Saccharomyces cerevisiae S288C: one gene and its partners. The gene in region 1 interacts genetically with each later gene. Each region holds a gene or a part of one and is shown in the gene's direction. Other genes may lie near its edges. The genes, in order: HFL1, RPN13 and MCH5.

Region 1 (3,717 bases):
CAGAACAATGAGCACCAACTATCTATCGTGGCAGCCAACCTTTGGCAGAAACTCCGTCTTCATTGGACTCACAAAGCAACAAAAGGAGGAACTCGGCGGTGTCGAATATCGTGCTTTGAGATTGCTGTGCTGCATTCTCATGGTATACTACATCGGATTCAACATTTTGGCGTTTGTGACCATCGTTCCATGGGCCTGTACGAGGCACCACTACTCAGAGATTATTAGACGAAATGGAGTTTCTCCAACCTGGTGGGGGTTTTTCACTGCAATGAGTGCATTCAGCAACTTGGGTCTGTCTTTGACCGCTGATTCAATGGTTTCCTTTGATACTGCGCCGTATCCGCTGATTTTCATGATGTTCTTCATCATCATAGGCAATACAGGCTTCCCAATTATGTTACGATTTATCATTTGGATCATGTTCAAGACCTCGAGAGACCTATCTCAGTTTAAGGAAAGTCTTGGGTTTCTCTTGGATCATCCGCGCAGGTGTTTTACGTTGCTGTTCCCCAGCGGCCCCACATGGTGGCTGTTTACAACTTTAGTCGTCTTAAACGCTACGGATTGGATTCTTTTCATAATTCTGGATTTCAACTCCGCTGTAGTAAGGCAGGTTGCTAAAGGTTATCGAGCTCTCATGGGCCTCTTCCAGTCTGTATGCACAAGAACTGCTGGATTCAACGTTGTTGACTTAAGTAAATTACACCCGTCCATTCAGGTGTCTTATATGCTAATGATGTACGTTTCGGTCCTGCCGCTGGCGATTTCCATTAGAAGAACGAATGTTTATGAGGAGCAATCGTTGGGACTATACGATAGTGGACAAGATGACGAAAATATCACCCACGAAGACGATATAAAGGAAACAGACCATGATGGCGAATCCGAAGAGCGAGACACTGTATCTACAAAGTCCAAGCCGAAGAAACAGTCCCCAAAATCGTTTGTTGGTGCTCATTTGAGGAGGCAACTCTCTTTTGATTTATGGTACCTATTCCTTGGATTATTTATAATATGCATATGCGAGGGCAGAAAAATCGAAGACGTTAATAAACCTGATTTCAATGTCTTTGCTATATTGTTTGAAGTTGTTAGCGCTTATGGTACAGTGGGTTTGTCATTGGGTTACCCAAACACCAACACATCACTATCTGCCCAGTTCACCGTATTATCGAAGCTAGTCATAATTGCCATGCTAATAAGAGGAAGAAATAGAGGTTTACCATACACTTTGGATCGTGCCATCATGCTGCCAAGTGACAAACTGGAACAAATTGATCGTTTACAAGATATGAAAGCTAAGGGTAAGTTGTTAGCCAAAGTTGGTGAGGATCCAATGACTACTTACGTCAAAAAGAGATCCCACAAACTGAAAAAAATAGCAACAAAGTTTTGGGGGAAGCATTAAAATCAAGTTTACCCCTCTTTACCTACATAAGAGCCAACGTAATTTTCTCTCAGTATTATATGTATTATCTCCGAAGTTTATTATTCTTTAACGAAATATAAAAGAAAAATAAGAAAGATTAAGACCCTAAAAGGTGTACCACTACGATTCAACAAGCACAACGAATCCTATCCGTAATATACTTTTGATTTCTGACTATTCTAGAAAAATTTTAGTTCATTTTTTTTCCCTCTTTTTACTTATTGTATTTTTCACAATTGAATTGCATTTTGTCCCCTACGAAAAAAGGCAGAAAACGAGATCTAAACCACTTTCAGATCAGAATAATAATAATAATAATAACCAACCAAAGCCATCAACAGGTCCACTAGAAGCATCTGCCAAGTTACGACCTAAGCAAAGGTTTGAGTGAAAAGTGAATTGCGACAGTACAATCACAAAAGTATAGAAACATAATTGTTATGGAAAACAAACTACTTTGTTGGTGGTTGTACTGGCCATGCGTGTATTCATCTATTATAGCTACCATAATATCTTTTTACACCATAACTAGACACTTATTAAATTACCGTAAACCATATGAACAAAGACTATCCATACGGATACTATTGCTCGTGCCCATTTTTAGTGTGTCATGCGCAAGTGGCATAATTAAGCCTGAAGCAGCTCAATTTTATGTCGATCCTATCAGAGAATTTTATGAAGCATTCGTTATTTACACTTTTTTCACATTTTTAACACTACTACTAGGAGGCGAGAGGAACATCATTACTGTTTTAAGCTTAAATCACGCCCCCACAAGACATCCGATACCGCTAATAGGTAAAATTTGCAAACCGATAGACTTATCTGATCCTTTTGATTTTCTTTTTGTCAAAAAAGGCATATTACAGTATGTTTGGTTCAAACCATTTTATTGTTTTGGTACATTGATATGCAGTGCATGGAAGCTACCCAAATTCGAAATATTTTTGAACGTTTTTTATAATATTTCAGTGACTTGGTCACTGTATAGTTTAGCACTATTTTGGAAGTGTCTCTATCCGGAATTAACTCCTTATAAACCATGGTTGAAATTTTTATGTGTCAAATTGATTATTTTTGCCTCTTATTGGCAGAGCATCATAATCCAGGGTCTAGTGGTTACTGGAAAGTTGGGTACGGGAAACCAAGATCGAACCTCTGGATATGTGTACAAGAATGGGCTCCTGTGTATAGAGATGGTGCCTTTCGCCATCTTGCATGCAGTAGCTTTCCCTTGGAACAAATACACAGCATTTAGCATACCTTATGGGGCCAGGATGAAATTCATTTACGCTTTGAAAGATTTTCTTGGTTGCGGTGATCTAATATGGGATTTTAAACAGACTTTGTTTGCTGGTCCCTTGTACTATAATTATAGGAACTTCGATCCTGAAGCCATGGATCTATTAAGCACTAGACAACAATCCGGTGCGACTATGGAAAGACTAAAGCATGGGCTAAGATTTACTGATAATGGAAGAAATAGTTATTGGGTGGCATATGGGAGTATAGATAACAACCTTGTTCCGGAATCAATAGAGGAATCATGGGAAGATGATATTGCTGGTCAGAGAACTTTTCCTGAGGATCCAAATTATCCGGTTGTTCACGACTACACGATGGGCCATCGATATAGTAGATCAATGAATGATTTAAGAAGAGATGTTCAAAGTAGGTCATCAATGGCTTGTTAAATGAGTCGTTAAATGTACGTATATACATAGTTACTGCGCTTTCGGTTATATACAAAATAAAACAACATCTACAAGCAATGCTTTTTTTTCAATTATTGTAACTTGGATGCTTATTCTAATAAAATGAAATAAATGCTACTGTAATTTTTTGCCGGAGGATTGGCTATATATGCAGAGTGGGAGTTGGACGATATCACCATTATTATTATTTTTCTATTATTACCATTGGACTTGTCTTTTGCAGCAACAAAAGTGGCAGCAGCAGCAACAGCACCACCACCAATGCATTTTGGCCTTGCCTTTTATAAGTTGTCAAAAAAAGTTGACCTCGAAAAGGGGAAAAAACATCAATTTTTCATTAAAAAATGCTTAGCACATTCATATGCAGTCCAAGAAATGGCAGTGGCTGGTATATTAGCCACTATCCTTGGTTTCAAACCTCGCCAAAACCCCTTCCAACCATGAACCTCCAGTATGGCTCTTGAGGCTCTACCAAAAGTGTTCGCATCCTTCATTATTTCGATGGAGACAGTTTCGCTGCCTCTAACCTGTAATACAGTCTTTATGCAATCCAACGGTGTAGTTAAC
Region 2 (2,994 bases), on another chromosome or scaffold:
GAATCTTTTATTATCTTATTTATTAACCCGCCCCAACCTAAATCCGCATCCTTTGAAGAGTTGAAGTTTTGCGAATCCGAGGAATCGGAGCTATAAAGATAAAGGTTAAACCTCTGAGCTTTATTCGCAACTGATAGGCCGTTATAAAACTTGAATACCGGAGATATGTTAATAACTCCGGCAGCTAAGCCCTTTTTTACGTGGTCAATCTTATTCTCAGTCGATGAATTAAATGGAGAAAATGGGGAATGTGAACTTGACTCTTCGGTAGATATATTGTAAGATGAAATTTCCGGAGCAGTTTCTGTTGTAATTGCTATTGTTTCCTTCAGCACTACTACTAAGTATACTTTATTTTTATGGACTATCGTTTCCAAAATATTCTTGAATAACATTGCAGGAATTTCATCTAGAGCTGATTCCATATTGGACGACTTCGTCATGGTAAAAGACTCTGTTAAAACTTCGTCTTTGGTTCTCAAGTATACACAAATAGAAAGATCTTGATATTTAGGATCTGATATAGAGGGATCCCATGCCAGATCTTTCAAGTTAACCAAAATGCTCGATCTAACTGTGCCGAATAGTCCGTTAGATGAGGACTCATCATCGGACTCTACCACAGGTACAGTAGGAAAATTATTAGTTAAACCACAAAGCATTGACGATGACACTAAAGTTCTTAATTTGTCGATCTCGTATGAGAGCAATTCGCCAGTATCAATATCCCTGGCAAAAATTCCTTCGAAACCATAAGGATCTGGGTTTCTTGGAGTAGAGTTAGCAATTAGTTTATTCTTCCTGTATGTGGAGGACAAAAATTTTGCGATTTTAGTTCTTAGGGATGTTGCTGCTCTTATCAGATTTATTTTCTCAGCCTCTGTGGTTAAATTCATAGACAATCTAAATCGTATAGTGTCCAAATCATAATAAAGTTTTATCATTTTCCTATATATAGAAAACTCGCCAATTGAATACATAGAGTAAACATGCGAGGAAATAAGAGATAATATAGGACCCATTTCGTCCTTAAAGGACCTCTTTTGGTATCTGAAAAAGGGGAACGGAGGTCTCGGTGTCTTTCTTGGTTTACCAGTTGATATATCATCAGTAGAGCTAACATATAGGCTGTCACAAAAGGAGCGGGACTCACATTCTTTACTTATCAATGGTTTAAAATCCTCAGCACTAGGTGCTTTGAAAAATGGCATTGTGCTGACGGCTTTTTCTGCTTCAAAATGAACATATTTTCTAGGAAATATCACTACTTTCGGTTTCACGTCTGGCAGTACATCATTCGCCGAGTTCATATTCGATATGAATTCTTCAGGAAAGGGTCGTAAACATTGGTACGCTCTACACCATTTCTTATCCACAGATTCTTCGAAGACGTAAACTTCTGCACCCACATAAACGTTCGCATAATTGCTGTTTTCATATACCAGCTCAGGATACCTTTGTAAGGGAAGGAAAGATTTGACTAGCACACCATATATTAGCCGATCCGTGGGCAGCCAGCGCTGTGAATCCTGTTGCGACATTGTAATAGTAATCTCCCTAAAGAAAAAAAGACCCCTGTTTTATATGACTAATCTTCGGTCCTCTATAATTTCAATTGAAGCAATAATTGACTGAGTGGTGTACAAACGGTTGCTTGAACCATTTATATTATTTTCAACTCATCAAGTCATCCCCTCCTTGATATGCGTTATTGATATATTTCAGTTAAAATTCCTCCGTATTTCGTGATATATTATTCGCGAGGTGGCGAAAGCTTTGCTACTAAATACTCTACTATGACCAGTAGATTAGGTTCTATAAGGGTGCCAGAAAACTACCTAAGTGCTGGTTGACTTATAAATTTTAAAAGAGTGTTGATGAGTATGAGTTCAACTGTAATTAAATTCAGGGCTGGTGTTTGTGAATACAACGAAGATTCACGTCTATGTACGCCAATTCCAGTTCAGGGTGAAATCGAGATCAAACCAAATGAAGAGGAAGAATTGGGATTTTGGGATTTCGAGTGGCGTCCAACGGAAAAGCCGGTCGGGAGGGAACTTGATCCTATTTCTTTGATTTTAATTCCTGGAGAGACCATGTGGGTTCCAATAAAATCCAGTAAAAGTGGCAGAATATTTGCTTTAGTTTTTTCATCCAACGAAAGGTACTTCTTTTGGCTGCAAGAGAAGAACTCAGGTAATTTGCCCTTAAATGAATTGAGTGCGAAAGATAAAGAAATTTACAATAAGATGATTGGAGTGCTGAATAATAGTAGTGAAAGTGATGAGGAAGAAAGCAATGACGAAAAGCAAAAAGCTCAAGATGTGGATGTTAGTATGCAAGATTAAATCAAGGTTGTGGCATTTTTTGATAAAAAACTGAAGAGAAAAAATATACCATATCAACGCATTTGGCTGTGAACTTCTGTAAAGAGATACGGACCATAACAATAGGCATGATGATGGCATCTATAACTTCTATTGGAAGGTAAGTTTATTTTTCCCATAAATATGTATATATGGTCTATACTCTCAAATGAGCCTACATATTGTTGCATATTAACGAGGTTCCCATCTCACCGACCAACTTAGTTTATCACCTGCTTTAAATGGGATGATGCTTATGTCTTTGCCATCGCTGATAACCTGAGGGATAACTTGTTCTTTTTTGAATAATATTGCCTTATCTGAAGAAGCCACTTCGCTATCTTTAACCTCATAAAAGGAAATTCCGAAGTCGGAAACAAAGCCCTTTAAGTTCTCCAAGGCATTTTGCTCTTCAAAAACTTGGGCGATATAAGGGATCGCAAAAGATTGTGAGTAAACTCCTGCGCAAACACCCTCGTAATTGGCCTTATTTTGTACAGGATGAGGTGCTGAATCAGATCCAAAGAAAAAATATGGTTTCCCTGATACAGCAGCTTTGACTAGAGCCTTTTTGTCATTTGGAAGTTTCGCAACAGGTTTGCAAAAATTTACCGGATTTCCGGCCCAA
Region 3 (3,937 bases), on another chromosome or scaffold:
GGATGACGTCACGTCGAAGGAAGGGCAACCGAGTCTAGACAAAACAAGATTTTCTCCATTGCAAGTGGATAAGATTACCATATTGTTCTACTGCTCCTGCATTGGGTTTTCTTTAACCCTATTACCTTTTTTAACCGGCGAATTAATGCATGGCGGTAGCGTTATCAACGATTTAACGCTAGAAACAGTAGCCCTTGTAGCGATTCATGGAATAGCCCATTTTTTCCAAGCAATGCTTGCTTTCCAGTTGATCGGTTTACTATCTTCCATTAATTATTCGGTAGCAAACATCATGAAGAGGATTGTTGTTATATCCGTGGCACTCTTTTGGGAAACAAAGTTAAATTTTTTTCAGGTGTTTGGTGTTATCTTGACAATTGCCGGATTGTACGGTTATGACAAATGGGGGCTTTCCAAAAAAGATGGACGTCAGGCATAATATGAAGTAATACTATTGAGTACAAACCATCATTCAAGGTAGGACACTTAGTACTATATCAAATATATAATCAAAAAAAAAACCCTCGAAGGTCTTTTTTATCTTATTTACTGCTACTACCTCTGTTGCTAGCATTACTTCAAGATCCTAAACTGTTACCCCACCCCCGCACCATATCAAGGTTAAAAATCCGATGTGGCGGTACTTATTTGGTTATTTATCTCATTTACATTAATATGCGTACGGGAATGGCCTTCCGCTCCGTGGAGGATAAAGTGCGGTCATTTTATTATTTTTCGAAAACAATGGCTACAATCCCTTGATTATCTCACATGCGATTACAAAGCAAAAGAGAAGATTCGCATGCAGGAGCCATACACGCGTCTTTTTTAAGGTATTTCCACGATCTCGCGGAAAAACTTATAGAACGAACAACTATTGCTTTAACTAGGAAAGAATAAGAAAAAATAGCGATCATACTAGAACCCACAGTCGAGGCACAAGGATTTTGAGGATTGCTCTACCCCTAATGCCTATTGCTTCGATTGCTGAAAGCGGATCTACTCCTTTTTCCAAGTACTCGAAAGGTTGAGAGAAATAAAAATAGACTAGTCGACGGACAATGCCAATAAAGTTTGGTTATACGAACTGCTTTAACCAAATTAATATTGGACAGACTCCGTGTTTTTTGGTTTTGCCCTTTTTTCCCGCTAGAACGACATTGTGTTTCTCCAAAATTATTCCATCTTTTCCCTCGTGTTAACAATAGAGTCACAACGCACCTGTTATTATGATCTCGGGGGTGGCTTCCCGAACATCGTCGGTTGAATACTGCGCTTTGGCGTCCGAAAAAGAAAAGATAGGAAAGGATCGAATTTTTGACATTTTTCTCAACCTGCTGCGCGCTGTTCTATAGACGTTTGAGGCACCTGAAAAAGAAATACAGCGGAATAATTACTGTTCTGCTGAATCGCCCTAGGCGGTATTGTATGAGGCTAATAATAGAGAGACATCTCTGAAAAGAAACTAGAGGAAAATTTTTCAAAAATATCTATTTTGCTCAGAGAAATGAATATAATAAAGAAGCTATTTGGTTAGATCTCCCAGTAGTTACGGGGACTAGATATATAAACTGCTTGATGTACGTTTGGAAATTCTCAAATAGCAATTCTCTCTTCAAAGTTAGTGAAGGATAGGTTATATCTGTAAAAACATACTAAGATCTGAATAACTAAGATCACGGGGGCATACTATCGATTAAAAAGCTCTGATTTTACTATAGATTAAAAAGAAAAATAATGAGCTCAGACAGTTTAACGCCTAAAGACACTATAGTTCCAGAAGAACAAACCAACCAACTGCGGCAACCTGATTTAGATGAGGATAGCATACATTATGATCCAGAAGCTGATGATTTAGAGTCATTAGAGACTACTGCCTCTTACGCGTCAACGTCGGTGTCGGCAAAGGTGTATACCAAGAAGGAAGTAAATAAAGGAACTGACATTGAAAGCCAACCACATTGGGGTGAAAATACCTCGAGCACGCACGACAGTGACAAAGAAGAAGATTCCAATGAAGAAATTGAAAGCTTCCCGGAGGGTGGATTCAAGGCTTGGGTTGTGACATTTGGTTGCTTCTTGGGTCTAATTGCATGCTTTGGTTTATTAAACTCAACGGGGGTCATAGAAAGTCATCTACAGGACAATCAATTATCCAGTGAAAGTGTTTCTACCATTGGTTGGCTGTTTTCTTTGTTTCTTTTTGTTTGCTCTGCCTCATGTATCATTAGTGGTACTTACTTTGATAGAAATGGATTTAGGACAATTATGATTGTGGGCACGGTTTTTCATGTAGCCGGTCTGTTCGCTACCGCCAACTCTACTAAATATTGGCACTTCATACTGTCCTTTGCCATTGTCTGCGGGTTCGGTAATGGTATTGTACTGAGTCCCCTAGTAAGTGTTCCCGCCCACTATTTTTTTAAGAGACGTGGTACTGCATTGGCAATGGCCACTATTGGTGGTAGTGTGGGTGGCGTCGTTTTCCCAATTATGTTGCGTAGTTTCTTCTCTATGAAGTCAGACACTGATCCAACTTATGGATTTGTTTGGGGCATTAGAACTTTAGGATTTTTAGATTTGGCTTTGCTAACTCTGTCAATCATTTTAGTCAAAGAGAGGTTACCACATGTTATCGAAAATTCCAAAGATGGTGAGTCACGTTGGAGATACATACTCAGAGTTTATATTCTGCAATGTTTTGATGCGAAGGCTTTCCTGGATATGAAATATCTTTTTTGTGTCCTGGGAACGGTATTTAGTGAGTTATCCATTAATTCAGCTCTTACTTATTATGGATCATACGCCACCAGCCATGGAATTTCTGCTAATGACGCCTACACCTTGATTATGATTATAAATGTCTGCGGCATACCCGGGAGATGGGTTCCTGGCTATTTGAGCGATAAGTTCGGTAGGTTTAACGTCGCAATTGCAACTCTACTCACTCTATTTATCGTCATGTTTGTTGGTTGGTTACCATTTGGTACCAATTTGACAAATATGTACGTTATTAGTGCCCTATATGGATTTTGTTCTGGAAGCGTTTTCTCCTTACTTCCTGTTTGCTGTGGCCAGATATCTAAAACGGAAGAGTTCGGTAAACGTTACTCTACAATGTACTTCGTTGTCGGTTTCGGTACTTTAGTCGGCATTCCGATAACAGGTGCCATTATCTCTATCAAGACAACGGCCGATTACCAACACTATATTATTTTTTGCGGTTTGGCAACTTTTGTAAGCGCTGTTTGCTACATAATTTCGAGAGCATACTGTGTTGGCTTCAAGTGGGTCAGATTTTAAAAAGTAAGACAGTGCCCTTTATAGATCTTCAAAAAAGTAATGCAATAATATTTTCTTTTAGGAAATGTGTAGATAGACTATTTAATTAAAATTTCCTTATGTTTTTTTTTTTTTTTTTATTTTTCCGAATTAAAGTCACTATTTTTGTACAACTTCAACTTCAGCCATTCAGAAATCTTGCAATCTTGCATTAACGTAGAGGCGTATGAATTCTCGTAATAATTAATTAGTTTTCCTGAATTGATTAAGTCAAAGTGCCCGTCAGTCTTCTCTTTCAGCATCTCAACACGTAAATATATCAGAGGAAGCGTGATGTTATTGATAAGATTTAAGGTATCTTTTGTTAACATATGAGGGGAACACATAATGCATACTGTTTTGTTGCGTTGACTATGTGATACTAGTGAGGTGAATGTTCCTACTAACTCACGGAATTCTCTAGGAGATAATTTTGATTTAGTGAAAGCCTTACATTGGACTAGTACTTTCAATGGTTCAAAAGTATGGTCGATTATCCTATACTTTAAAGGTTTCAATACGAAGCCATTTTGCGAGTTCGTTCTTTTTATGTTACTAGCCATTTCCAAATTGGGCATTAACGATGAAATTTTCCAATAAATATCATCTACTGGCC

Evidence for each region.
Region 2: mutations in HFL1 (region 1) and RPN13 together harm fitness more than expected from each alone (negative genetic interaction), as found in Saccharomyces cerevisiae (one large-scale study listed by BioGRID).
Region 3: mutations in HFL1 (region 1) and MCH5 together harm fitness more than expected from each alone (negative genetic interaction), as found in Saccharomyces cerevisiae (one large-scale study listed by BioGRID).

The regions. Positions count from the first base shown.
Region 1 is NC_001143.9:529,074-532,790, forward strand, and holds HFL1 (Hfl1p), read left to right. Parts: upstream 1-1,872; coding exon 1,873-3,129; downstream 3,130-3,717. Other genes in the region: TRK2 (Trk2p), read left to right, coding at 1-1,411; MRS4 (Fe(2+) transporter), read right to left, coding at 3,477-3,717. UniProt on the Saccharomyces cerevisiae protein: Vacuole membrane protein that recruits ATG8 to facilitate the degradation of vacuolar integral membrane proteins during early-stationary vacuole turnover (EVT) when cells enter stationary phase.
Region 2 is NC_001144.5:964,444-967,437, reverse strand, and holds RPN13 (proteasome regulatory particle lid subunit RPN13), read left to right. Parts: upstream 1-1,877; coding exon 1,878-2,348; downstream 2,349-2,994. Other genes in the region: guanine nucleotide exchange factor DCK1, read right to left, coding at 1-1,541; URA4 (dihydroorotase), read right to left, coding at 2,559-2,994. UniProt on the Saccharomyces cerevisiae protein: Component of the 19S cap proteasome complex which acts as a regulatory subunit of the 26S proteasome, involved in the ATP-dependent degradation of ubiquitinated proteins.
Region 3 is NC_001147.6:889,233-893,169, reverse strand, and holds MCH5 (riboflavin transporter), read left to right. Parts: upstream 1-1,737; coding exon 1,738-3,303; downstream 3,304-3,937. Other genes in the region: SLY41 (Sly41p), read left to right, coding at 1-439; RRG7 (Rrg7p), read right to left, coding at 3,420-3,937. UniProt on the Saccharomyces cerevisiae protein: Riboflavin transporter involved in riboflavin (vitamin B2) uptake. Does not act in the transport of monocarboxylic acids across the plasma membrane.